Styela clava: one gene and its partners. The protein of the gene in region 1 interacts with the protein of each later gene in a biochemical or structural test. Links are inferred from orthologs where the notes say so. Each region holds a gene or a part of one and is shown in the gene's direction. Other genes may lie near its edges.

Region 1 (7,096 bases):
CTTTGAATTGGGCTAGTTATATATATTGTGAGGCAAATGGTTAAAGTAAATACACGAAATGGCTTGTAGTTGATTTAATACTTCAGCAAAAGATTACAGTAAACCTTCATAAAAAGTGTAGGAGTGAGGATTCGTATGAATGAAAATTTGTAACACTGGATCAAATAGACGAGTGTAGACTTGATATTTTAGGGACAACCTAATCCGAACAGATGATTGAGTTGTCTTATCGTTAAAATTTAATCTAATTACCTATTTTGTTTATTCAGCACATGAAAAAGCACTACGTGAAGCCAACTCGTTTAAATAAAACCGAAAAAGAATTCCTTGATGATATTGAGAAGGGAACAATGGGTCAAAACATAAAGGATAAGATCATCCTCGCGATCAAAGCAGAAACCGAAAAAGCAAGAAACTTGAATGCTAAGAATGAGAGGTTTAGGATCTTCACACTCGATGACGACTCCATTATAGAACAGCTGAGAAAACTTGTTTCAAATTTACTAACATATTTGTTTGGTAAAGATACTCCGAAAGACGATATGGAAGCACAAATTATAGAATAGAACAAATAAAAAAAATTTGATGACTTGCCCTTTGAGTCAATTTATATTTTATTAGTTTATCCCTCTCTACTAACAAGTAACAAACTTATGAAATGCATTTGCTTGTGATTAGTGTAATTGAAATGGACAGGTGGATCACTACCCTAAATTCTCGTTATTATTAAAAAAAATCGCTCTTTTCTGCAACTAATGATTCAATTGATTTCATTTTTTTACTACAGTTGATTAGAGTCGCTAGTAAGCTAAAACTTTTATTTTTAAATTCCTCCTGCCAGTGTGGGACCCGATATCCTACCAAATATTTTGCTGTTTTATTTTATTGAAGTGGAACACTTCTTTATTTCATAACAGCTTATTTACTGATCTTTTGTTCAAACTAGTTGCTTGCCTATGTCATCTTCATTCCCGTAATATATTATACAATCCAATACTTTTTAGCTTGCTTATATAATTTGTACTTTGCAAATATGCACTGCTTTTAATATAACGCTTGGCAATTTTTTGGGTAATTGTTTATAATATTGCTCTGCACAAAGATGAACATTTTTTAATTTAGCAGAATTTTAATTTGCAATAATAAAAATCCTATTCGAATATATGGTGTGATTATCCAACTCAATTTTTAGGGAAAAGATTTTGACTTGTTAAAGTTTGAGGATTATTAATCGGTTTGTTTTAAACAAAGATGATCTCGATTATGTGTCTCAAGTATTCGGTAGTTTAATTATTACTATTTAAACCAATGTCACAGGGGATCTATTAAGGAGGCCAGCAATCGGGAAAACTCAGTGGGCCCAGTTATTAGTCCGTATAGCCTTAGGCCGCGCTACACAATAATGAGAACAAAGAGCTGAGTTGTTGTGGTCAGATTTAGGAGACAATGAGATATTTACGATGGTGCAGGAAAATTTTACATTTTGTTGAATGTTAATTGATGCATTAGGTTGCAACAGTCGATATTTATCATCGCGTAACTAACCGCCCTCACTATTTACGGTGTCAGTAGATCATGGCACTTTACTATTCGCCCGTAATTTTGCTCGGAGATCATATCCTTTTGCGCACGACAATTAATTGAGCAGATTTCTCTCATGACGGGGTGCGGGTCAGATGTGTCGACGGTATTAACTTGGAAACAAATAGAATATAAAAGTTAAGAACATCTTAACGGTATTAACTTGGAAACAAATAGAATATAAAAGTTAAGAACATCTTACATTCGAAATGATGAACAACTAAAGAATAGGATTTGAATAATGTGAACTACGTTGGCATTGCTGTATGTGCTGGCTACCGCTGTTATTACAATTTTACATACCTGCATACTAGGATACTGAGGTGAAATTGGCACATGTATTTCTACGTGTTTTACATCCTATTATGACTTTTATAGGTTTTCATGATTTTCTCAATCGTTTGTGTTTTCATTATTTTGTTTCATGTATGTATTTTTCGGGGAATCAGAATAAACTTGATCCTTATTCGTTTATTTATATATCGGCGTTTGGCGCGTTGTGCTCGACATGAGAAATACGCTTGGCGTTGTACTTATTTAACTTGCGCATTTTCAACTTCTGTGGATGATAATTATGCACGACAGGACTGCTAGACTTCTCACAAGTTGTAGGGGTGGTTCACGTAGTCGTAAGTGCTGGTCGGCTATGGTTTCCCCGCGTACAAGTCCGTGAATCTGGTTAATTATTCCCATAACCAACATAGATTGGAAACCGGGCGAGTAGCTGGGGTTTGCTATATAATTAGGTGAAATAATTATAAACTACTGATTACAGGTCGTCTTATCGGATCCCCACTTCACGGGTCGAATACGAAAATCTTCACGACCATGTAGAATGCCTTGCGCGCTTCGGGTTCGGATATTGAACTCCGGCCACCGCTTCCGTTCGGTTATGTCATGCTTACCATATTTCTTTTCGAGCGTTTTCCTTCCATTGCGCCATCGCCGTGACGCTCCAGTGTTATTTTTATGTTTGTTGAACAAAGAACGGCAATGTTCAGCATATTTGGGATTATACCGTATCTTTAAATGTGCCCACATTCCAACAATTTGAAGTAATTTAAATCGGGAATGAAAATAGCCGAAGCGGTACCGGTACGCGATTTGAATAATGCACTGATCACACTGCCATAACAGCATAAAGGTACGGTACCGGTACCTGTCTGCCTACGCCTGTGCAGTACGGTAGTACCGGTACCTGTAGCCTGTAGGCCTACCGGGTACTGTATCCTGGTATTGGTTCTATGTAGTCAACAGTTTGTTTGAAGACAGCCTGCTAAAGTGCTGTCCTCACAGACCACAAAACGAGAACTGATCATGACTTTACATATGTACGGTAACTTACGTAAAAAATACGTTACCGGTACTGCGACGTCACAAGGCACAGATGTATCTATGTTTATTTGTCTCGTAAATTCATAGAGCTTGCCAAAGTCTAAAAGTTAAACTATGCCCAAAATGGCATCTGCGCCGATGATAAAAAACTGACTAACGGTTGGAGATTGTTGCGATGAGAAAACGAAAGAAATAGCTAGCTTGCTCGATTTTGGGTGATCGTCTGCGCGTCTTAGATGGCAGTTCGTATAGTTGGAAGGGCTCCATTACATCACTGTGATGTCGTTGTGACTAATATTTGGATGACGCAGTCAGGTGGGGGTTAGGATTAACATATGCTGATATGCAAAAATGTTATGCTACACCCACTAGAGGTACGTTAGGTACGAAACTACATGAGACCCGGGGTTATGATTAACATATGCAAAAATATTATTGTTATGCTACGCCCACTAGAAATACTTTAGGTACGGAACTACCCTAGACCCGATTTCTCTAATTTTGTAAAATATTTTTGTCTCACCATAATTCAGTAATTTCTGAATTTCAATCAATCATGGAATGGAAAACAGCAATGTTTTGTAATAATAGCACTGAATCATATTACATTTGGCACAGGTCTACAGGTTCATTGAACGCTGTTCTTTTTCAAAATAATATCGCGGGTACCATGTAATGGACCTTTCCCCGAGCATCGACTTTCTTGTTAACTTCGTGACATTGGCCAATCAGCAAGATGCAAAAAGTGACGTAACAATGCTTCCTTTTCACATCCGCTTAGACACTTTTCTCACTCAGATTTTCAAGTGTGGTCGTAAACATTACCTCGTTTTCGCGTTTTTGGACTCTATTCGTTAGTTTTCAGTTGTGTTCAGGAAACTTAAATATAAATCAGATAATTCAATGATCACTCTGTCTTCCTAAGAATTTTAATTTAATTGCAGTAATAAAAATTAGTGTAAAAATAGCTGTGATAGACTAGACTAAAATTCATTTACCGGTACTTTTAAAAAACAGATTGTTGTACGATGAATCCTGATGATGGTTCGGGAAACATACCCCATTTCACAGGCGCCAACTCGCAAAGGCACTCTTAAAATAGCCCCGAAAATTTTCTAATGGTAAAGTATAGGAAGAATTTTCTGGGGGTCAAAGGTCGGGGAAAGGTCCATCCACTTCGTACCACTTCATGGCAGCTCATGCCACGGACGAACCGATGGCAGGGCAGCTCTTGCTGTGGTTAGGGCACTATTACCGGTATATTCACAAGTCATGTACCAGATTTCAGTTTATCATGCGAAATTGTATCTACTTAAACCTGAAACCTAACCCTAAATCCATGAAAAGTGTGTCCATAGGAAAAATGTTCCAACTTACCCAATATTTATCACCATCAGGGGCAGCCCTGCCATTACAGCCGACATGCCATGGTTATGGCAGCTAAATTTTACCCGCCTTTGGTTTTCAATTTGTGGCCTTGGTAAATGTATCTCGCTATTGGTTTGTGGAAGCTAAAAAGTCAGTTGTCATAGGTTTGGTCATAGAGGCCATGGTTTGGAAATCCCGTCATGGTTTTGCGGCATCTCGTACGGCACAAAATACTTGAAACTACAAGAAGCTGGGTCAATCACTAAGTTAAGTCTCCCTGGAGATTAGTCTCAATTTTCCACTTGAGCCATTTCTAGTCCAATTCAAATCTATTAAATTTCTAGAGCCCCCACCCCAAAACTGCTAAATACTGACTTTATATATTCACCGTTTCAAAGGTCGGTTTACTCATAAATTAGTTGATTATTTGCTTTAGCCTAATTAATATTTTGGCAGAAAATTTTTCATTTTCTACAAAAAAGCAAGAAAAATTTGAGGGGGATTTGTGTAGCGGCAAAATTCGAAGCCTTCATGTCATCTGACGGTTTCAACGATAAAAAATCTTCAGCTAACGACAACAATATAACAAACTCTCCTCCAAAAAAGTTTCGAAAAGTTGACGACACGACGGGATCAATTTGTACAAGAGAATCAGTGATAGTAGCTGTAACACCCGGAATGGCTCAAAACGGAACAAAAATGGCGGAAGACTCGATCGATGAGGGGTTGTATTCACGACAGTTGTACGTACTCGGTCACGAAGCAATGAAACGGATGGGAGCTTCTAATATTTTCATAAGCGGCATGAAGGGACTTGGAGTGGAGATTGCAAAGAATGTAGTTCTTGCTGGTGTGAAGTCTGTTACTATTCATGATGATGGCGTTACTGTTTTATCTGATCTCAGTTCGCAGTATTTTTTGACTGAGCAAGATGTTGGGAGAAGCAGAGCCGAGGTTTCGGTTGGAAAAATTACCGAGTTAAATTCCTATGTTCCAGTCAAAGTTCACTCTGGAGATTTAACCGATGAAATCTTGAAAAAATTTCAAGTTGTTGTTCTTACAAATTCAAACCTAGAAGAACAGCTCAGAATTGGGGATTTCTGCCACAACAACGGTATTCGCTTCATTGTTGCGGATACTAAAGGTCTTTTTGGTCAAATCTTTTGTGATTTTGGTGAGAAATTCGTCGTTTTTGACAATAATGGGGAACAGGTTAGATCGGTTATGGTATCAGCTGTCACACAGAATGAAAAAGGGGAAGGTATTGTGGCTTGTATGGACGAGACTAGACATGGATTCGAAAGTGGTGACCACGTTTCTTTTACAGAAGTCAAAGGAATGGTTGAACTTAACGGATGTCAACCAAGGGAAATAAAGGTCCTTGGACCTTATACTTTCACTATAGGCAATGTCAGCAATTTGACTAAATATGAAAGTGGGGGAATCTGTACTCAAGTTAAAATGCCTACCCCTGTCAATTTTAAATCTCTCAGAGAAGCTATGGCAGAACCGGAGCAAGTAATTACTGATTTTGCAAAATGGGAACGTCCTGGCCAATTACACGTTGCTTTCCATGCTTTACATAAGTTTGTCGCTGACAAAAATAGTTTACCAAGAGCTCAGAATAAAGAGGATGCTGATACTTTGGTACGAATCACGGAAGAGTTGAATTCGACGCTACCAGATGGTGCCAAAGTGGAAAAAGTTGATGAGAAGTTAGTACGACAACTTGCATATGGTGCACGAGGTGATCTTTGCCCTATGCAGGCAGTAATTGGCAGTATCACTGCACAGGAAGTAATGAAAGCGTGTAGCGGAAAATTTAACCCAATTAAGCAGTTCTTGTATTTTGATGCTCTTGAGTGCCTCCCAGAGGATGGGGAGGAAAAATTGGATGAGGGATCTTGTACAGCCATTGGTGATCGATATGACGCTCAAATCGCAGTTTTTGGAAAAGATTTTCAAAAAACCGTTGGTCAACAGAAATATTTTGTTGTTGGCGCTGGTGCCATAGGCTGCGAACTTCTCAAAAATTTTGCTATGATGGGTCTTGGATGTGGAGAAGGAGGGAATATCACTGTAACAGACATGGACATTATTGAGAAATCAAATCTTAATCGCCAGTTTCTGTTCAGACCATGGGATGTTCAGAAACTCAAGTCTGAATGTGCAGCCGCTTCTGTCAAGAAAATGAACCCCCAGGTTAACATCATTGCTCATCAGAATAGAGTTGGACCAGAAACTGAAAAAGTTTACAACGATTCTTTCTTCGAAGGTCTCGATGGTGTCACAAATGCTTTGGACAACATTGATGCAAGAATTTATATGGATCGAAGATGTGTGTATTACCGTAAGCCTCTGCTTGAATCTGGTACGCTCGGGACTAAAGGAAATGTCCAAGTTGTTCTGCCTTTTCTCACAGAGTCTTATTCTTCCTCACAGGATCCCCCTGAAAAGTCTATCCCAATTTGCACGTTGAAAAATTTCCCGAATGCGATTGAACATACTTTGCAATGGGCACGTGATGAATTTGAAGGGATTTTCAAACAACCAGCTGAGACCGCTAATCAATTTCTTACTGATGCAAAGTTTTTTGAACGAACCGAGAAACTGCCTGGAATGGAACCTATTGTTACATTGGAGTCTGTTTTTTCCTCTCTTGTCTCGCAATATCCGAAATCTTTCGTTGATTGCGTGAAATGGGCTCGTACGAGATTCCAGGAGCAGTATTATAACAATATTGCGCAATTACTACATAACTTTCCACCAGACCAAAAAACAACATCTGGTGCTATGTTTTGGTCAGGACCTA
Region 2 (7,252 bases), on another chromosome or scaffold:
ATGGAAAGGTATTGATAAAAGAAGTAGTACGTGTTCGCTCACCCAAGACGAAATTATTGGAAAAGTTGTATTTCCCATTCCCCCTGATTCAGTGATTCGAACAGATTACAAGATATTTAGTCGACTAAGGAGTACAATATTTATCATCTTAAGTTTGAAATCTCTTTTTCTGCCAACTTATCAAATAAGTTTTCAACTATTGCTAATAATATTTTGAATAGAATCATTTTATATGACATAACGTCATGGTCATCTTGGGGGCAGGAGGCTTTCATTTTTAAAAGAACTGAAAAAGTAAATTATATTATTATTCTGTCTTAGATGTGAATCAAAGGTACCGTAAAAGCGCCTAACTTCGGACAAAATTACTATATTTTCGTCTATAACTCGGCCATTTATTGTCCAAACGGTGCCAAAATTGCTCGGTAAAACATTCGTGCGGTAATTTACATTCCCTGCAAATTTCGGTTCAATTGGACTATTTTTACTATTGAAATAATCGATATTTCTTGCCATCTGACCGTTATCCTTCACTGCCCTAACTTCGGACAGTCATTTTCTTCACTGCGTAACCGCGACGCACAGAGAGAAAGAGGCTTCCGATGCGGATGACGTAATCACGTCGTTGCGTGAAGATAAGACGCTCGATCGTCGTCGTAACGTAACATTGACGTCACGACGAAAATGCATTATTTGAAACTTCCGTCGTCCTATGTTTACATCTTTCGTTCGTTATTTTCAATACTTCAGATGAGTATAATAACACGTTAGTCATTTTAATCAGGAAATGCATACGTAAATATATCTGATGCAAACCGTTTCAATCCACAATGAAGTATTTTAACGGGCTTCTATCGAAGTCTTTGAAGTATTAATATTCTCGGCGGATAGCTTTTTTTTATTCTGTGCAGTTATCTTTATAAATGATAATTTATATCAAACACACGGTAAATCCGATTGTAAAGTTTAATTTAAAATTCAACTTAATCTTGTAAACATGTAGGTCCCGTTTATTTGTTGGAGATTAAATTTATTTTTAATTTCGAGTGAATAAAATCCACCCAGGCCGTATTCAATAACTGTCATTTCGACTACTAATCATAAAATAATGGTTAAGTCAGTGCACTGTGCCATATGGACGTTGGAATTATCATAGTTTTATATATTCGATTTTTAACGTCATCGATTAAGTGTGACATGTATTTTCATTAATGTAATTTTGGCATATATTCATACATGACCGAACAAAATACAAAAATATTACATTGGAACGCCGTCTTTATCTTAACGGAAATTGTCATATTGGCTCCGTTGTGTCTGGCGTCAAAATTCATTTCCGCGACGCAGTGTGACGTCGTGTCGGAAGTGAGCGAAAAATAATCTACGTGAGGTTGACGTATTTTTGACGCTGCGTGAAATCTTAATATTCTTACGAAATTTATAATTCAGAATTTTAGGTTTTATTTAAATCTCGTACGACATCTTGCGATCACTCAAATAAATTATATACATTGTTGTCGCCCTCTACCGAATGATGGTATTTTGACGATGATAGCTTCAGTAGGAGCGACGCTCTGCGCCGTTGAATGCCGGGCAGTCAATTTTCGGCAAAATTTCTGTTTTTTTACCAAAAAAATAATTATGCAACATTAAAAAAGATGAGAATAGATGTAGATATAACAGCGCATCCTATAATAATTAAAATTAGCAATATACGGCGCGTTTTAGCCAAGATATGGCCGTTCAAAAATTTTGTCCGAAGTTAGGAACTGTCCGAAGTTAGGCGCTTTTACGGTACGGTAAATGAAAACCATATAAAAATTTGTAACACATTATAAAATTATGTCATTTCAATGTAATTGTGACAAAGCAGTTGCTCTGAGCACACTTCGATCTGAAATATTGGATTTAAGAAAGGAGAATGCAATTTTGAAACAAAAACTAAGTTTGTTTGAATGTAATATGCCAGAAACTATTTATCATCCCGAATTTGTTGACGCAAGCTGTCAAACTGAATGTGATTATGAGGAACTCAAAAATCACTTGTACGAAAATACATCCAATGTTGCAGAGACACTCACAGCTGAAAGCATTGCCCAAACTGCTCGTTCATATATGAACACGGCTGGGTGGGTTTATGATGAACAAAGGGGTATCTACTTTGATTACAACACTAGTCTATATTACTATCCCAACACAAAGCTATATTACAATTATAAAAATGGGTGCTATTATAAATATAATCAGGACTCACAAGAATACGAGTTTCAGCATCAACTTATGAGCTTCAATGACACGTCAAATACGAATATTGATAGAGATGATATTATTGGAAAGCAAATAGGTGATAAAATTTTTTTTTCGTCTCTGAAAAAAGCGGTATTTAAATATGGAAAATCTCAGAAGAGTCATCTCAAAGCAATCCAGGTGAACGAACTTTGCTCCCACTTTACGAATAGCCAATCTGAAGTTGAAGGGATGGCAGAAAACAATAAAAATTGTATATCAATATGCAAAACTGAAATCGGGCGATCACCATATCATGATTACAGTTTGTCTGATTCAGAGATTGAATGCATTAAATCAACAAGGAAAAATTATCTTGTATGTAGGAAATGTTCTAACATAACGGAAACCTGTTGTTGCCAGAATGAAAAATGCTTAAATATGAATATCAATGGCAAATCAGTATGTAACAGAATGACAAGAAAAGATGAAAAAATATCAGAATTAGACAGTTGCTCTGATACTGAACTAGAGACATTGTCAACACATCCTTTTAAATTTTTGAAATGTCCAAAATGTTTGTCTTTTGTTAATTCTGTTTGTTGTGAAGGTATAACAGAGTCGAGAAAACGACGGAAAGCTTCGGATTTAGCTGAAGATTCAAATAAACGCCATTGCTTAGAAAACTTTAAGTTAGTGTGTGATGATTCTTCCAAATTTTCAAAAGAAAAAGTCATTTATTCAATGGATTGTTTGGATGAAAATGATACAGACTTGGATTTAGAAACTAATGTGATTCCATGCATTCGAGCTATGGTCACTTCATCTAAAAGTCTAACATCTGGTACGTTATTTTTAATTACTCGTTATGGTGCAATTTTTGGTTCAAGTGAAAACTGTGAAATTCAAATACAAGAAGCTGATGTAAGTCCAAAACATGCAGCAGTGTTTTATAACCAACAACAAAGAAATTACTTTGTCACTGATTATGGGAGTGAGAATGGAACAACTCTAAATTCTATCACCGAACATAATCCTGGTATAACAACTGTGCTAGCCAGCCCTATTACACATAAAAGTGTGCTAATAATAGGAAACACTGTGTTTGTGTTACATCTGCATATTGGTTATGATACATGCGATGACTGTGAACCTGGTCAAATCCAAGCCATGATTGATACAAATAAGACCAATAATTCAGTTGAAATTTTGACAAAAAATGAAAAGGAAAAACAAAGGCGATCTGAGTTGAAGAATATTAGGAGAAAATATAATTTACATAATGATAAATATAAGCAATCGGAATTCGGTATTGAACCGCAGTATGTGGATAGAGCTTCTGAAAGAAGGCGATTGTTAGGCAGTGATAATCCATATGAAAAAGATGAGATGCCAACTTCAATGCAAACAGAGTTGGCCGATCACAACAAAGGCCACCAAATGCTAAAGAAAATGGGTTGGAATAAGGGACAGAGTCTAGGAAAATATCAAACAGGGATTACAGAACCTATTGCACCTGAAGGAAGTGGAAAAGGGAAATTCGGACTTGGTTACGGGAAAAATAGATAACGTTTGCTATAATTTACCTTTGCTATTGATGTTCTTGTATTGAACTATCTGGTGTCATAAATGCAAATTGTACAAACATTTTTCACGATACTCATTTTAATATTTTTCAAACATGAATTGGTGTCAAACACAGTTGTATAAACACATTGTATGGATAACAAATTTGAAAACATAATTCAAGACCTAAGTGGTCTGTCTAATTAATCTTGCTACCCAACTTCTGCCTCAACATCGTCTATGACAGAACACAGAACCATTCTTGAACTTATTTTTTGATGCAAAATTGTGTACGTACGTACCACTTGAAAATATGCTTCTGCTGTATAAAAAACAAATTCTGGAGTTATTAATGAAGAGAAATTTGTCACTATCACACCTTGTCCGTACTTTGTTACCCACAAAAACTATTCGCCAGAGTGCATGGATGCTGAAAATACCACGGTAAATCCTTTACTGAATTTAATTATTTGTTTGTGCAATATTTTCTTTTGTTTTTACAGGAGTTACGGTATCTTATAATAAGTTATATTTAGTGACAGAAACAATATGTCTCGTAAAAGCTCATCTGTGCAGCGTGCACCAACGACGGCTACACAAAGACTTAAACAGGACTATCTTAGGTTAAAGAAAGATCCAATTCCATATGTCACTGCAGAACCCCTGCCATCTAATATTCTTGAATGGCATTACTTGGTGTTAGGACCCAATGACACACCCTATTTTGGTGGTATATATCATGGAAAATTAGTCTTTCCGAGGGAATTCCCATTCCGCCCACCTTCTATATACATGATCACCCCATCAGGAAGATTCAAATGCAACACAAGATTGTGCTTATCGATAAGTGATTTTCATCCAGATACTTGGAATCCTGCCTGGTCTGTAGGAACTATTTTAACTGGGTTGTTAAGTTTCATGGTCGAAGATTCTGCCACATTAGGTTCTATTGAAACATCACACTATACAAAACGTCAACTCGCACTTCAGAGTGGACCATTCAACTTGAAAGATTCAGTTTTCTGTGAACTATTTCCAGGAGTTGCCAAGGAAATTAGAGCAAGTATGAATGCTCAAACAACATCTCAGACAACAAATGCTAATGTAAAAAATGAACAACAATCAAACGCTGCAAATGAAAGGGAGAGAGACAACCAATCTAATCTTGTAAATTTAGTTATTGTTGCCGGAGTTGCTCTATTTGCTCTTGCAGTTAATAGCGTTATTCAAAGTTTATGAATATTATATTTGTGAAAAGTTTATATCGCAAATTTAACTTGATAGAAACGATATAGATCTTACGAAGTATCGTACTTATTACAGCCGTAAGCCCGTAATAAGCCAACTCGTGCTAAAAAAAATTTTGCTTAGATGGCCTAAATCACTGCACCTCTGTGCTTGTTTATGTGAATTAATTTGCAATGCTCATTTACTTGTCAAAGGATACTTCTGTAATGCCTGCTTACATTATTGCTGAATATTAGATGTATATTAATTACGCTCCATCGATAAGGTACAATGTGAAACTGGAATACAGATAACAAATAATTACTATGGTATGATGAATCGTTAATATCGTTTTTAATTTATATGGTATTCTGAAATTTTGAACCTTAAAATAGTCAACCCAATACTTATATTGTCAACACCAATTGGATAGGACTCCTCTGTTTCATATGACTAACACTATTTGGAGGAAACTTAGAAATGTCACTCAATAAATTCCATCAGGAATACAAAAAATCATCAATGTTGCATATTGGAATTGTTTATCTTTGAAGGAGTAATTTCAAATCATTTATTGTTCAATTGTAAGTTTATTTTTTCGATGTCCTGATGAAATCATGGCAATTTGTATAATTCGGTCATTATTCAACTGAGTATTCAACACTCATATTTTTTGCTTTGCGACAATATTTATCGAGTGTATTGTATTTTTCATTGGCAATCCATAAAAGGAGTATAAATATTATGTTGTGGAAAGTTGAGATTATAACCCTGTTACTTGAGATAACATGTAGGTATTTTAATGGCCATACCCATGGGTTAATTCATTACATACGACAACAAGGCTCACAATTATTAGTCAGCATTGGTGATATTCTAGTCAATTCAGAAAAAATTAAGGATTCGATATATTTAATAATGAATCATATGTATTTCACTGGTCAACTTTATCTAACTTCCGTTTACCGTTTGACAATGTCGTTAAATTATTTAGATTACTTAACATACATTGAATTTCCATACATGCTAACTTTTTTGTACACCTGAATCGAGTGTTTTTTCTATTGACTTCTATGTTATGTTTTAAATAAATTAGCAGTTCTAGGAGTGTGTAAGAGTAGCATATGTAATGTAATAGTAACAGTCTGTTTTGCTCCACTGTGAATCAGTTTGCTATGTTGTATATAGAATATACGTGTAAATATCGTTTTACTTTGTTGAAATGAGTTCCAATTGGGCACCGTGAGTGAATACATTATATAGAGGAAATATTTTTTTGATTGGAAAATATTTTTGTCGTCACCTTAATGGCAATGTTGGTTATGCCTCTTATGTGTATTTATTTCTACATATTTTGATGTTTTTGATTTTCAATTCGGACAATGTATCTGAAAACCGAACTAAAAATTGCTTTGGGATTTTGGGATGTGGTACTTTTGTAGGTATACTTTTGAATCTGAAAGGGAGGGAACGTTTTTTGCCAGTTTATTATAAGAGTTTGTTTCTGTGTTTGTGAAGTGCAAAAAACAAAAAGGGAAAATTTTGTTGAATTTTCAATCTAGTGACCATTGATTGCAGGTTTTGTGATTTTCTTGTATGTCCACACCACATGATTTGTCTTGTATGTCCACATTTGTTTTTTTCAAACCTTCAAATTCTGTGCGAATCTTTTATTTCATTATCTTATATTTTGCGTTTGTATCATATTATGTCATTATGTAAAACATTAGTCTTCAAATTTTGTCATCTATTCAAATCCATGGACTGAGCTCTTCAACTTGAATATTAACATCCAAAGATTCACTATGAATGAGAATCTTGGATTCTGTGAGTATGACATTGTTACCTTTTGACTAGTACACATATCGCTATTTCAAAATAAAATATTTTCTCGATACAATGAATTATCCTAATGATGCATATTTCATATTTAGTACATGGCATGGAGGAGCTGATTTAAATTAAATTGCAATGGCTCCAACCCCAGCTCAAGCTTTATTCTTTACCTTGGAGCTAGGCTCAGGCTCTGCAGTCATTGAGGTTTTTAACATCACCACTAACATAAGCCCAAATGCAGTTTCGAAAGGTTTACTCAAAACTATGATATACGACTTACCGTACATATTTTTTCACTAAACTTTAAAATTCATCTGGAAATTTTCAAATTAATATTAGAAATTAACGGTGATTTGTTCGAAATATTAAAAAAATTATTAATGGTAAAAAATTAAAT
Region 3 (7,279 bases), on another chromosome or scaffold:
TGCTAATTTTACTGAAACATCGTATATTAGAGCACCGATATTTACAATATAATTAGTCCCAATAACAAGCTTTCATGCAATCTAAAATTTATTTAAATACTCATTGTGGTTCTTGAGATACGAGATCATAAAGTTGATTCCTTCCGACACGAAAAACAAGCCGGTAAACCGGCTTGCCGGGGCACAGAGCGTACTCAAACAAGCCGGTAAACCGGCTTGCCGGGTTCAAGCGGTTAAGTGGGTATGTTTTCTCGGCAAGATATGTCGAGGAATCGAGAATCGGAATCAAAAATTTAGGAATCGGATAAGAATCGAATACGTGTAAGTAGTCATACTTAGCATCTTTACTCTAGGCACGCCACTGGCCATGGGCCCAATAGTGCTGCGTATAGGTGTCGGGAAAGAGTTTATTTCTAATTGGCAAACTCTTTTGATTTCTGCTATAAAATCAATGCTCGTTTTACAGAGAGCAATCATATCAACAGAAACACTTAACTTAATATTCTCTATTAGTGAAATGCACAGAGCATATTAGCAGTATAAAATTATAATTTAAAATATGGCACGAAAATAAATAGGCTATCGAAGCAACACATTTAGGTAAACTAATATACAACAATTTATAGATGGCGAACTAAAAGCTAAACTATAATCATTATAGCAAGATATGGCAAATTATTCTCAAACACCAATAGGTAAATAACAGCAAAAACTATAGAAATGATTCGAGTCGATGTATACGACAGCTAATATACGCATGCAATGGGAATCTTCACTTCAGCTGATTAGCATCTACAAAAAGATAAATGAATTATTTTATTTGAAAAGAGTCATAAATTATGTCTGTAGCGCTAATTGAGTCGCGCTATTTAGCGCCATTTTTTCAATTTAAAGATTGTTCTTAATTTGGTCTACAACGTATTTTTTTTATATTTAAATTGAATATATATACTATTTATCATTTTTCATACATAGAATAGATAAAATAAAACTGTAGCTACATTAAAGAAACTAAATGTTTTGCTAATATGTTTTGTATTGAATATATTCGAACAAAAAGTGTAATTTTCAAATATAATCGAGACACACGAGGATTACAGGCGACAACTGTTGACTTATTTTAACGCATAGCCATTAAATTGGAATAGAACATTTATTAGGAGTTACACCCAAAATTTAGATTCAAATTGAATCATCAATATTTTTTGAGTAATTCCGTGAAAACCCTATTGCATGCAGTCATCTTTACTATATTCTAATTTAATGAGCAAAGTATAAGTCGAGGCTCTAACTTACTGGCGAAGGAGAAATGGCGTTTTTCTCTATGGGTAGGAGCATCAATTTTCCACTGACATCTTGGTTCTGAATCGGTGTTTACTGTCGGATTGAAGACGGTGCTGACAAAATTTTCCTGCAATTGGTTAAAATATTATATTATCTGGCATTTGGTGTTCAACACACAACAAAATATTACAAACATTTAAGTTATATAGTACTTTATACTGATAATGACTTTCAACTCAGTCTGACATGCCTAAATAAAGTTTGGGGTACGTTGAAGTCCCGTCACCACATACTGATTGCTAGCCAATGACAAATAAAAAATTATCTTTTTCGTTGAAGCTTTGCTTTGCAAATAGGACTTCAGTATCGATATTAGGGCATCCTTCCTTACTTTTGAATGTCTTCTCTCAGATCTACACCAGTCTTGTGATTTGTTAAGTTCCACTGCACACCACGATTCACGGGAATTTCCCAATTGATATAGCATTTCTTGATTCATCTTGAAGTTGAAGTGTGTTCTATTTTAAATGTAAATCAAATTGACCAGGCTTATAAAACTTTACGACCCTACACGACGCGTACCGAGTACCCCTTCGTACAAGCGTCTGTTGCTAGGCAGCACCCTGATGCGCCATCTCGAGGTGGAACTATTTTGAGCATACCCCACGTGTATGAGGTAAAATAAAATGGAGACAACGAAATAGAAGGATGCGTCGATACGCGGGGCTGATGTCGGTATACAGGTATACGCGGTAAGATATCAAGTGCGGTATTTTCTTGACTATTTTCATCGTTGTGTTAATACAGTAATGCTTAAATAATAATTTTTTGTGTGATAGGATAGGATTTTTTGGCTGCATATTTATATCGGGGGAGAGGAAAGTGATAAGATGGTTTAATCATACTGTCATAAGGCGAACCATGACCTCTCGTCAGATCACCAGCCCATGATATCATAAAGATACCCCTAACAATACTCAGGCATTTGTTATTTATGTAAACCTGATTATTGTTATTCATTTATTAAAATATGATTTTTATTTATTGCATAATCCACATTGTGGAATCATAAAAGAAAAAAAAAAAATACTCAGGCATGGTAAAAAAATCCGCGACCATGCAGTCATGTGAGTTATCTAACACAGTGGTACTGCAGTACGGTACCGTACCATACGTAATGCAGTGCTGCAGTACCGTAACATTAACACCCAATACCAGCAATACTGCAGAAATATGTATACCGGTATACATTTGGCCGGTATACATCTATAAGAATTTAGAGGATAATTCTGTAAATAAAGTTTCAAACAAATTCCACGCTTGATCAATTGGCTGAGTACCGGTATTATCGAACTTGGCCCTATTCATGCCTCTGTCAATCATTCATTTTGGTTCTCTAACATGAACAATACAAAAAGTAAACGGATAAAACAAAATGCAGAGAAACCTGGGAAACATGCATAACTCAAAATAAATTTAAAAAGCGTACGTGCCCGCCCATCAAAAAATAAAACAATCATAGAAAAACGCGATCCACAATCGGGCAGTACTTTGAAGGCGATTTAACAAAAACAGCAAATATGAAATAGATAATTGAATGTAATAAACTTCTGACAATTTCTTCCGTCTTTGGTTGATGAAAATTTGAACCACTTGTCGGTATCTAATTAGGATTTATGAGAGATCACCAGAATTAATATACAAATGAAGCCGTAGTTGATGATGCTGTAGTTTGTCTCAATACTGCAATATGGCGAACTCGCATAGGTACCAGATTTTCTTTCTTATCCCATACTTGCTGTTCTTTTTGTTGTGTTTAAAACTGATTGTTAACTCTTTGATAAAACTTGTTAGCACTTTTTTTACTACAGTACTATATTACCTTATTGTCAGCATATTAAGTTATTGCTTACACTCTGTACGTATAGCATACTGACTGGTGGTTGTGGCAGGGTATACTCAGATACGTTCATAAATTAGTGAACAAACGTCAACCTGTAAGTGGAACATGTAAGCACAGCCAGATAATTATATGATTTGAAACAAAAAATAACTACGGTACGGTACAGTAATTTAGTCCTGTAATCATTGCAATCGCTGAATTGAATCAACACAGGAACAAATACCTGAATACTGAAATAGGCTATCATATATTTTAACTTTTGCAATTGTTTAGACTAGTCGTTTATATGTAATTGTCGCTTAAAGACGAAGTAGTTCTTTTGGTCCTCTGTCTGTCTGTCAGTCTGTAGTTCATATTGTATTATTACTATCTAACTATTTCAGAACATAGCAAATATTTTGATCCACACATAGGCTATTTGAATTGTCCATTGTCCGCTATACATGATCTGACAGAACAACTTCCTAGTTTGGCCATTTGGTGTTAGTAATTTCGTTTTGAGTTGGGACAGTGTAATTCCATTTTAAGTTAGGACAGTCCTATTTTCAGTAGGGCAGTATTTTCATTAGTTCTCCGATTCCAAAATGTCCCAACATTTGGTTCAATAAAACGAACACTCTACGAGGACGTCTGTCATGACGGCAGATTTGAAAGATCCACCAAGATTGGCTTTTTAATAATTTAAATCAATAGTGACGTGCGTCTGCCGTCACTTGACCAAATTGCGTTTTTTTTTGCTAAAAACTCTCAAATACTACGATATAATTTTTTTCTTTGGTAAATTGGATTATTTTTTCCGAGAAATCTAATGGTGAAGTTTTTAGATTTTTTTTTAGATTTAGATTTTTTAGTTTTTTTGAACTGTGCAAATTTGCCGTTTGAGTCGATACAGAGGCTCAGACCGTCAAGTAAAAGAGGGGTTTGCACCGACTGTTATTTATGATGTTTTAATGTACTTGGAATCTGTCTGAAATTTGACTTTGAGGAGTTTAAAATTATGTCTCTGACTTTGACTCCAAAATTAATAAAAACACACCAAACTGTATCCGAACTTTGACTCAGCAGCTCTTGTTTTTCACTATATTTTTCAGGTGTTATTCAGTATAGTAGATATTTTTTGTGTATTATGTCATACTGGGATCCTCTGCAATCTCATGACTGGGGAAATGAAGCTCCATCTCACACCACCATAGTCCGACTGAAGAAAGATATTTTGGAAATATACAGAGCGCCTCCACCAGGCGTTGTCATCTTACCTAATCCAGATGATATAACACGATTACAGGCCATAGTAACTGGACCTTTTGACACTCCTTACGAAGGGGGATTTTTCTTATTTTACATACGCTGTCCTCCTAATTACCCATTAAAGCCCCCCAGAGTAAAATTGCTAACAACTGGTCTTGGAATGGTACGTTTCAACCCAAATTTCTACAAAAATGGCAAAGTGTGTTTGAGCATACTTGGAACTTGGTCTGGGCCTGGTTGGAGTCCCGCCCAATCTTTATCATCTGTCCTTATTTCAATACAATCTGTGATGAACGAGTCACCGTATCATAATGAACCGGGATTTGCAAGTGAACGAGTAGCTGGTGACTCGATGCGATACAATGATTGCATTAGACATGAAACAATAAGAGTTGCTGTTTGTGATATGGCGATTAACAATTCATTGGACACTGAAGTTAAAAAAGTTGTGCAGTCATCTTTTATGGAATATTATGATTATTATGTTAGCACTTGTAAGAATTTGATGAAAATGGATGGGAGAACAATGCAAGACCCATTTAATCAAAATACAGGACATTTCCGATTTGGGGAATTACTTGCCAGACTTGAGTCAATAAAACAAACACTTTCTAATAGTCCATATGTAGTTCCAATGGAAACTGATGAGCCAGGTCCGTCTCATTAACTTCAAAATTCAATTAATTTTTACTCTATATTCACCGTACTTTTAAGCTTAATAGATGGAATAGTTCCAAATCAATGTCAATGATATAATAATGTTTATTTTTGTATTGTTTATGAGTATATCTTAATATAGTATAATATATCTTTTATGTTAGTTTATTGTTACTTTTGCAATCTTCAATATGAATGCCGTGCATAAACTGACATGATTTCAGTCGCCTTTGAGTTTAGGTTTTATTTTTAAAACTCTCGCTACATTAAACTTCAATGTATGACGAACCTCTAACTCCTATTTCTATGCTTATTACAACTATCGGTACACACGTTCGGCTGATTACTTCAAAAAATAAAAATAACATCCAAAAGCCATTATTATGGAATATATCTATGCGCAGCTAAAATAAATTTGTGTAAATTTGCTAAACTTTTTTGTTTTCTCATCAATTAAAAGTATAGTCATTCGAGAGCCACAAAAATTTGGATTGCATGCCGTATCGGGCCCGCAAGCCGCAGTTTGCGGACCACTGTTCTAATGCATTGTCACTACAGACTGGCCGCCTTACAAGATGCCGTAGTTTGTCTCAATGTGGCCAACTCGCATATGTACCAGATTTTATTTCTCAACCCATACTTAATGTTCTTTTTGTTCTGTTTAAAACTGATTGCTAACTTTTTGATGAAAACTTTTTTTACCATATTATTTCATTGTCAGCATATTAAGTTCTTGCTTATTTGTAATATTATCTAACTATTAATCTTTAACTAGGGATTGATTGTGAGATTTGAGGAATTCAAAAAAAATATAAACAATATTAAAAAACGCAACTATTGTTTAGCAATGTTATCTGTCAGTCCATGTGAATGAATTTTGATTTAGCTATGAAATAATACATCAATGAAATTTGTAAACTAGTAAGGAAGAAACAACTAGCTAATCAGATCAGAGGCATGCAACATACAGCCTTTGGGCCCTGGTATAGTCTTTTGAATATTATTTTTTATTGTAACGGCACTGTCAGCATTTTTGTATTTGTGTTGTGTTAGACTTGAATTAAATTTTGTTTGTTCAAGGATTCGATAAGGTGATTTGCTTTATTGGTGTCATGTTTTGATTAAAAGGTATGGTTTGTTTCACAGTGTGCCATCATTTTAGGGTTTGACCCATTGCCAGGGCCTTTAAAAGGCATGACCTGGCCCTGGGGTCAATATTGAGGTCTGAGTTGTCAGACCAACTCAAATTATTTCATAGATCACTGGGGCACCATTGCAAATTCCGCAATGGAATTTTTAGTAGTGCCCTCTTTCGTTGGTGCCCTAAGCACATGCTTATTTTGTCTAATGGTTAATCCAGCACGGCCCATTGCGATAAACAGTTGCATGCTCCTGATTTAGATATTCTTAACTCCAGCATATAAAGTGCATATCATGAATAAACGTTGTATTTTTATATTCTGAATTCGCAGAGCTACAATAATTAGAATGATTATTCTAAGACACAATTTTTTTTTCAAATCGACTATAATGGAGTATCGTGTATTTTGACATTTGTTAATCCTTACCCAATTGTTTCAAATAAATATGCAGAAATTACTATATTGTCAAATTATACAAACGAAATAATATTTGTATGGTTAATAATAGTGGCACATATTATGTATTATTCCATATTCCACTAAAAACTGGTTAGGCTGTATCTAATAATCAAGTCCGTGCTTCCAAAAACATAACTGGCTAACTAATCCCAGACCCGACCTGGACTGGTAACCGGACGTGAGGCCGTGGTTCACCATATGATTAAGACATCTTTTCGGCTTTCCTTTCCCCCGTGATAAATATGTAAATCCCATCTTTATATGAACAAGAATATTAAGAAATGAATATCTTATCTTAATATATTTATTAGTTATTTTTTATTGTTTTTTCTTTTTCATGGAATTTCTTCACATTATGTATACGGAATATCAAATATATCTGTCTTCTGGAAAATTCTTTGACATAATTCACAGTTACAAAAAAATTACAAATCATCATTTCATGATATGAATTAATATTGCCGCATTTTTTTATAGGCAAGAGTGCTTGGAAATAAACTTTGAGCATAATGTGAATCAGCAAATTGAATTTAGATAAGTAATTCAGAATTTATATATAAAATTTAGTTAAAATTTATATTTGAAG
Region 4 (8,026 bases), on another chromosome or scaffold:
GGATTTGCGACTGTCGCTGCGGCGTCTTGGTGGTTTATGTATGCAGATAACGGTCCCACTGTGTCATGGTGGCAGCTTACTCATTACATGACTTGTTCTTCCGATCCTGAAAACTACGAGGGAATTGATTGTAAGATATTTGAAGATCCACACCCTATGACAATGGCGTTATCCGTTCTCGTTACCATCGAACTCCTGAACGCCCTAAACAGTGTATCTGAAAACCAGTCCTTGCTGAAAATGCCACCATGGCAAAATATGTGGCTGATAGGAGCGATTATATTGTCCATGGTACTCCATTTCATGATTCTCTACGTTGATCCGCTACCAATGGTTTTCCAAATTTGCCCGCTGAATTGGACTGAGTGGAGTATGGTCCTCTACATATCCCTGCCTGTTATATTAATCGACGAAGCATTGAAGTATTTAGCGAGACAGTACGTGGAAAGTACAGATGAAAACACCTCAAAGAAAACCGATTAACTTTCAGACAAAGATGTGGCGCAATGAAGTATCATGTGCAGTTAAAAAAACGACTTTACTTTTCAATTCACTGAATATTTTGAACATTCTGTTCTTTTCCTGGCAGTTGCTTTTCCATCATCCTAGTTCCGAAGCAATAATCTATGTTCTTGTACAAACTTCAAGACAACTTTATATAGGAAATTCACCTCTTTGTTGTTACGTTTTTGCTGTTCTGTTATTTGTCAAATTTCATTGTTTCCGCAGGTGCTGCTACTTTATTAGAAGAAGTCAGACAACTCAAACAGAATTACATTTTTTTTTCAAATTTTAGAATGTGAAAAATTCTCCTATTAGCTGCGGAAAAATCAGTTTTAAAATATTGAGTCGAGTTTCATTTCTTTTTCAAATTAGATAATAATAATCAAAATTTTGCTCCCTAGGCTATTAATCTTATTTGGTAATTTGTATTGAACTGTGAGATTTAGTTTGTACTTATATAGTCAACAAAAAGACAAATTGGAATTCATTTTGAATTCTTTCTTTGTTATAAATCTCATTATTTGGTCTGCTTTAGTGTTCACTTTAGAACTGAGTGTTTTAAAATTAATATATTTAAGGCCCAGTATTGGCACAATACTGAACTGTTAGAGAATGGACATTCTCTATTGATATACCGACAGTAAATTCGGTATGGTCAAGTCAATTATGGCTCGACGAAATTGGAATAATTTGAAATTTTTTTTTATTAGTTCAATACTGAACTGTTATATTGGCCAGATTTTATTAGGTCAATTGAAAGTCTGATTCGATTTAAAATTTCTTTTATTTTATATGTTGATGTCATTCGAAATTGGACATGCCTATGAAAGTCGCTCCATTACCAACAGCTCAATATCATATTTTCAGGCGTGCCTGGGACAGGTTGGGTGTCATACTTTATGGTTGGCGAATCATTATCGAGTCAAAAATCAATTCGATACCTGGCACAAATTTGGGATATAAAAATTCTGGAATTCAATTTTAATTATTTCTTCTTGGTTTTTCATAGTCTAGTCTTCTCCTAACAGCTGCTTTTTTTTAAAATATAATTTATACGTGCCTTGCAAAATACTGAACAGCTGGGTAATAGGAAATATTTATTGATTGCCCAGTTTGTATTAGGCCAGTGTCAATTAAAAATCGGACTTCATTTTAAATTATTTTTGTTTGATTTGTCATAGCTGTGATGTTGCAGCTGCATGTTTTGAAGTTATTATTTATGCATCCCAGGCACAATACTGAATATTTAGGAATTAGAAGTTCTTCATTGATTGTTTCGTTTGAATTTGCCCAAATTTGGATTTCATTTTGAAATATTTTTTGTTGGATTGTTATAAATGTTGCTTTATAACTGGGTGTTTCGAACTTTTTAGGCATGTCTCTCAATATTGAATTACTGTTATTTATCAAAAGTCAACTCAAAATTGGAATTATTTTGTATCATTTTTTATGGATTTGTTATGTTAGAGCTGTTACTTAACAGCTGCGTATTTTGAAATTGTTATTTATGAGTGCCTGTTATAATACTGAACAGTAAGTGGATTCTTTATTGATTGGCCAGGTTTTCAATACTTTGTTCAAAATAGGACATCATTTGAATTAATTTTCTTTGGTTTCCATTGTTTAGTCCAGCGTTTCTCAAACTTCTTTGCCCCCGAAACACTTACGCTTTTTATATCAAGAAAACATCAAAAAAATGGCGGTAAAGTCGTTGGGCAGTTTCAAAAATATTTCTCCTAGGGTAAAATGAAAAATGTTGCTGTGAAGTTGATAATTAAAAAATTAGGCTGACGGTTACCGCGAACTCCATGCTTTCCAGCATGGCACGAGGCCTATCCGCCTGTTTAGCATGCAAGGCAGTTGCCAGTTGGGAGACAAATTTACGATCTGGATCCATCAAAGTACAACCGGGATTTCTTTAGCGACCATTTCGATCCCTCTTTTGCGGAACAATTTGAAGAAGCTCGTGTACCAGTAGTGTCCTGTGGAGAGCAGTTTCAGAAACGCTGGGGTAGTTTTTTCTTAACGGCTGCTTATTTTGAAAATATTATTTATACGTGCCTGTTGCAATACTGAACAGTTGGGATAAATGTATTTTGGGAATATTATATTATTTATGCATAAATGGCTCTAAACAGTTTTGAATTATTTCTATTTAGCTTTTTCGAGTCGTCACGTTTCAACGGGGTATTTTGAAAATATAATTTATGCATGCCTATCACACTTTTTGCACAAGTTGCTGCTGATTTGTGATTATTTTAATCACCTCACAAAAATATGTTGTCGATGTTAACTTTATGTTGTTTTGTATTGTAAGCATAAATTTTTTTTTTTTTCATCTCAAATTGAAATTGTAAGATTTATTGTGATTATAATATTATTGAATGTGAAACAGTTAGAGTTAACAAAATTGAATAATTCTAATTTTAAATCTGGAAGGTGGTTCTAAAACTTTCACGATCCATGGTCTTTTCCGATGGATATTAAAAATTTATTATATTTTCTAATTTTTTTCGGCAATTGAGTGAAACCTTTGTATGCTCATAATTTTTCAAAAGTTTCCAATTGAAAAAAGGGTAGTTTTGAAATTTTACCAAGTTAGACTTAGATTGTAACAGCTATCAGGTATGGCCAGAGGCTAAAAACATGGGTTTGTAGAAGTTTCAAGGGTATAAAAAGTGTGCGAGCTATGAAATATTGCTATATTTGATACAGAAAAATGTTTTTCTACATCTAAACTCCATCCCCCCACCTTCAGCTATGCCCTTGACTGTATCTGAAGGACGAAACTTGCAAAAAAATCTGTTCTGGGAAAACGAAGAAATTTGATTTTCAAACTCTATCTTTTTATTGGGATACTTTGAGGAATATTGCTTTATTTAACCTTTATCCGTTTAACATTTGCCTCTTAGTCTTGAAACCCTCGGCCAATTATATGAAATACCAATGTATTAGAGCATGGGTGTGTAACCTGCGGCCAGTGGGCTAAATGCGGCCCACAAGAAAAAATTGAGCGACCCGTGGTGAAGTGCCAATCTTGGATGGTGTGCACCCGCCAATTATCCCGCCAATAAAAAACCAATTATCTAGCCTGCCTGTATAAAAGGTTGCACACCTATGTATTGGAATATTCGATTCATTTTTTACATTCCTGATCTTGCTGTATTGTATTAGTGTAAAAATAATTTTTTATTATTTCACGTCAATTGCATGAGTTGCTGTGATTAGTAAAAATAATGTTGATTCAAGATTTTTAGTAAATTTACAATGGCGTTATTTATTTGTGCTTGATCCAGGGATGGCCGAAATTAAATATATTTAAAAAAACTTTTCAAGTATGGGATATAAAATTCGCAGTGAAATGATTTGTCTTTAAATTGTTTTTTTTCAAATATTTTTTCATAGTCCAAATTTGAATGTTTGCTGCGTATTGATATTTCCTGTCTTGTAGCTTCAAAATGTCACTAATGGCTGATTTGTTGTTGTTGAAACAAACAAATTATTTCTATCACAATTGGAGAATTGGGAAAATTTTCTTAGACCTTGGATACGCTGTATTGAATGTAACTATTTCCAAATCATTGAAAAATCAAATCATTTCTGGCATCCCTGGGTGATCACCTTTTTAAATAAGTAAATGTAGATCATTTCTATTCTATCCATCCATTTTTTTGTGTTTAACTTTGAATAACTAGATAGTATCTCTAATGGTGGCTTAACTTCATCTAAAATTGAGCTTATACTCAGTTTCGTAAAACATTGCTGTTTTATTTGTTCCATACTTGTGTGCTGCCTGTAATTTCGATATAGTTAAATTAAAAACAACAAGCCAAGATGTTACACTGATTGGCGTTAGTTTGAGTTTCATTAGCAAGCGCAATAATTCCAATTTATCCAATACCTTATTAGTAACTGATCGAAATACCTGGTTTAGTTTTTATTTGGAATTTACCTCAATAAAAAAATATTAAGTCTATGCTTGTGAAAACTAACTGGCTAACTAATCCCATACCCGACATGGACTGGTAACCGGAATAGGGGCTGTGGTTCACCATATGATTAAGCTGCTTTATCGGCTTTCCTCGCAGCAGAATAAATATGTGAATCCTGTACTGACCAGGCGATAGTTAATTCTTTATTAATTTTGTGTGTCAACCACTCCCAGTTTCAAAAATCCCCCTTCCCAAGTTTTTTTGGCCCTCACTCTATGCTACCACAAGAGTCTTGTCCTTCTTTACGTTATTTTTAGAATATTAGAAAAACATTAAAACAGTTCCTACAGGGTGATCTAAAAAAACAGATATAAATTTTTAATTATAAGAAAATTTATTTAACAGTTGAATTACTGTTTGTGCATGATTGTACCCAGGAGTTTCTGTAATCTAGGATGCTTCGCACAAAAGTTATGTTTTCTCTAAAATATGTTTCAAGTTACTTGTGTTCTGTTTTTCTCGGTCACCCTGTTATCTGAATATTTCGTACAGTTATCTGATAAAAATTGATTATCTTGAATGTAATGTTTTCATCATTTTCAGATATTAATTAATTATTAATTAGTTTAAATTAGGTCGTTTAAAGATGGCACAGTCTCAGTATAACTTTAAAAATCCAGCTGTTAAACGGTTAATGAGAGAAGCACAAGAATTAAAAGACGCAACGGAGCAATATTCAGCGCAACCACTGGACGATAACCTTTTTGAGTGGCATTTTACGTTTCGTGGACCGTCTGATTCTGATTTTGATGGCGGGATGTACCATGGTAGAATTATTCTGCCCCCTGAATACCCCATGAAGCCACCAAGTATTATGCTTTTAACACCGAATGGTCGATTTGAACTACATAAAAAAATTTGTCTGAGTATTTCTGGCTACCATCCTGAAAGTTGGCAGCCAAGTTGGAGTATTCGTACTGCGATTCTTGCCATCATAGGCTTCATGCCTACTAAAGGGGAAGGAGCTATAGGCGCTCTGGATTACAGCCCACAGGAGAGGAAGAATCTTGCGAAAAAATCTTCGACATGGAGTTGCCAATGCTGTGGTTCTATAAAGCAGTTGTTGAAAGAACCAGGTCAGGATTCTCACCAGAAAACGGAAAGTGAAATCCGCGACGAGGAGCTTGCGAAACAAATTAATTTTTCGAAACCAAAAACGCAAACGAAATCGGAAAGTGAGAAAGGGCCAAGCACTTCAACAACCGAAGAAGATTCGTCATCTACTCCTCCGAACACAGACGGCTTACGGCAGCGACAAACATCCCCCCCAGAAATTTCATCGATTCCTCCCCCTACTACCCCCCAACAACCAGCACCGCAAACGCAAATACAGCAACCTCCACCACAACAAAACGCACAGCGCCACCAAGAGGACTCAACACCATTCATGTTAATAATTGTTTTAAGCGTAGTTCTTGCCGTATTGCTTCTAAGACGATTAGACAGGGTTTATGATTTAAGAGGAAACCTTTTTTAATGATCCTTAACCTTTCAACTTTGACCGTCTGAAATTTGATTCTTTTTTTAGTTTTATTATAGTTTATTTTAATTTGTGTATTTAGGGTGGAATAGACTTGGTGACATGGCTTCATGCCCTGCCATTAGGTGATTTTATGATGCCACATTTTAGTAGCATGACATATAAGAGTGTATAGAATTTAGTTTAAGCAGAATTACAAATTTATGGAATTCTAAAATGTGTATTTAAAGAATTCTATATACCGGTAATCCAAATTGTAATTTTTTATGTAAAATTGACTGTTTGCATTGAAGGAATGATTTGTGTGTATATGTATTGAATGAGCTGCAAGGTAGAGCTATTCGGAATATTTATAACAAATACTCTATGGTTGAACATGTATACAATTTGAATTTTTGTGGTGTATTTCTGAATATAACCGGGGTTTGTGAAAATTTAGAATGGGATTGGTGGAAATTTTCTTTCTTATATTTTGTCATGTTAAAGCTGATAGTTGGCGCATGTAAATTATATCTTGAAAAAATAGTATATTTTTATAGTTTTTTGCTTTACAATTCAGCTGATTGAAATTGTCTGGCACCTCCAGATGATAATGATAGCCCATTGTAAAAATATATGCATAGTGCAGTAAAATTTGTATACATGCAAGCTAGATTTAGCTGAGGGTTTCAGTTAGTACTTTTTCCTAATTTTCAAATGCACAAACGTTTCAATTTTGTTTCTAGTTGGGTTGTGGTACACTTAGGTGGAGGCGGAGTTAGATTTGAAGTTATTTTAAAATTTAGCCACATCCTGCCTTATCAACCGTTTCAGTCCAAAGAAACTTTCACTCTTTAATATTTTTCTTGTCAGCAAATTTTGCCACTAGTCCAATATTTTGACTCAAGTGAATATGATTGATTGCCAAAATCAACTCCTATACCTTATTGAGGGGTCAAAGGTTATCCATCACACTTTTAATTCATTTATTAGTAGGCCTGACCAAAGTCAAGACTTTCTCAGACAAGCAATTTGCAACAATGAAGGAGTCTTTAGTCAGACAAAGTGTCTAAGAATAAATTTACAAAAGTGAAAGCAGGCCCTTTAAACTACTGAACTATTTATTGCTTAAGTATCTTTGCTGGCACAAATGCTGAAAGAAATGGGCTGTAGTAATACGCGCCGAATATTTGGTACTATCGTAGTATGTGTACCATGTTAGGCCATAATTTTATTCCAATCCCCCTATTTTAGTTCTAGCACAAGTTCGGAGGCTGTCTGTGTTAGCCAAGTGAATATCCCCCTGCCCATAGGTTACAGTCCTTTTCCTTGCCCATAGGTTACATTCCCTTTACACAACTTGATGTAAAATAGGTGAACAAAATTAGTTACCTCCATATTGGTACACATACTTCTGGAGCGCCCAATATTCAATCAATCCCTGTTAATTACCCAAACTATTTTATTATAGTTTTTCAAATCGTGGCATTAGCAAAACTGATGTCGCCAGGTTTTTATGCTGTGGTGCTTTACACATATATAATGAGGAACTCTTCAATACCAAATGAAATAATAAAAATTACCGGTACTAGAAATTGAAATCAGTCACTTTGTTAAAATCAGTAACAAGCACCCAAGAGTATTTCCAGGCGACCCATAGTTTGGGGAAGACTGCTCTAGTGTATGACCCGTACAATGACTAGAGATTTCATAGTTAAAATGTTGAAATTCTTAACATTAATTTTTGAAAAAGTATTTATGTATGTTATTGTAATACTATTTGTGTATAATACATCCAAGTTTTGTTTTTATGTATGCTTGCCTATCTCCTTCAATTCAATTTTTGCTGGTGTTTTAAATTAAGTTATATCAGGGGGTCTTTGTGATAACTGGAAAGAGTAATGAGACATAGCCCTAGAGAACCCAGTCTGCCAAGCCATTTAGTGTGGCCGTTGTCACTCAACACTCAGAAAATATCTCTTAATAATGCTTCACTTCAGACTATCCATGTAGACATCAGTATGTTTTAGATTCTCTTTCAAAATATTCATGAATTGAAACAAGTATCCTA

What was found.
Region 2: of the proteins of ubiquitin-like modifier-activating enzyme 1 (region 1) and ubiquitin-conjugating enzyme E2 J2-like, one has a biochemical effect on the other in vitro, tested with the Homo sapiens proteins (2 studies listed by BioGRID). The link is inferred for Styela clava from reciprocal best matches to the Homo sapiens genes UBA1 and UBE2J2.
Region 3: of the proteins of ubiquitin-like modifier-activating enzyme 1 (region 1) and ubiquitin-conjugating enzyme E2 Z-like, one has a biochemical effect on the other in vitro, tested with the Homo sapiens proteins (3 studies listed by BioGRID). The link is inferred for Styela clava from reciprocal best matches to the Homo sapiens genes UBA1 and UBE2Z.
Region 4: the proteins of ubiquitin-like modifier-activating enzyme 1 (region 1) and ubiquitin-conjugating enzyme E2 J1-like form a complex in vitro, tested with the Homo sapiens proteins (2 studies listed by BioGRID, with this or other methods). The link is inferred for Styela clava from reciprocal best matches to the Homo sapiens genes UBA1 and UBE2J1.

The regions. Positions count from the first base shown.
Region 1 is NC_135250.1:3,247,855-3,254,950, reverse strand, and holds the start of ubiquitin-like modifier-activating enzyme 1, read left to right. Parts: upstream 1-4,079; 5' UTR 4,080-4,815; coding exon 4,816-7,096. Other genes in the region: uncharacterized protein LOC120325420, read left to right, coding at 270-566. UniProt on the Homo sapiens protein: Catalyzes the first step in ubiquitin conjugation to mark cellular proteins for degradation through the ubiquitin-proteasome system.
Region 2 is NC_135261.1:15,008,445-15,015,696, reverse strand, and holds ubiquitin-conjugating enzyme E2 J2-like, read left to right. Parts: upstream 1-4,315; 5' UTR 4,316-4,341; coding exon 4,342-5,031; 3' UTR 5,032-6,749; downstream 6,750-7,252. Other genes in the region: uncharacterized protein LOC120329411, read left to right, coding at 1,843-3,795; ubiquitin-associated domain-containing protein 2-like, read left to right, coding at 6,825-6,846. UniProt on the Homo sapiens protein: Catalyzes the covalent attachment of ubiquitin to other proteins. Seems to function in the selective degradation of misfolded membrane proteins from the endoplasmic reticulum (ERAD).
Region 3 is NC_135255.1:6,259,359-6,266,637, reverse strand, and holds the start of ubiquitin-conjugating enzyme E2 Z-like, read left to right. Parts: upstream 1-4,260; 5' UTR 4,261-4,313; coding exon 4,314-5,102; 3' UTR 5,103-7,279. Other genes in the region: protein SPATA45 homolog, read right to left, coding at 773-792, 1,297-1,411, 1,676-1,783. UniProt on the Homo sapiens protein: Catalyzes the covalent attachment of ubiquitin to other proteins. Specific substrate for UBA6, not charged with ubiquitin by UBE1. May be involved in apoptosis regulation.
Region 4 is NC_135255.1:18,740,104-18,748,129, reverse strand, and holds the start of ubiquitin-conjugating enzyme E2 J1-like, read left to right. Parts: upstream 1-5,024; 5' UTR 5,025-5,082; coding exon 5,083-5,973; 3' UTR 5,974-8,026. UniProt on the Homo sapiens protein: Catalyzes the covalent attachment of ubiquitin to other proteins. Functions in the selective degradation of misfolded membrane proteins from the endoplasmic reticulum (ERAD) and is essential for cells to recover from ER stress.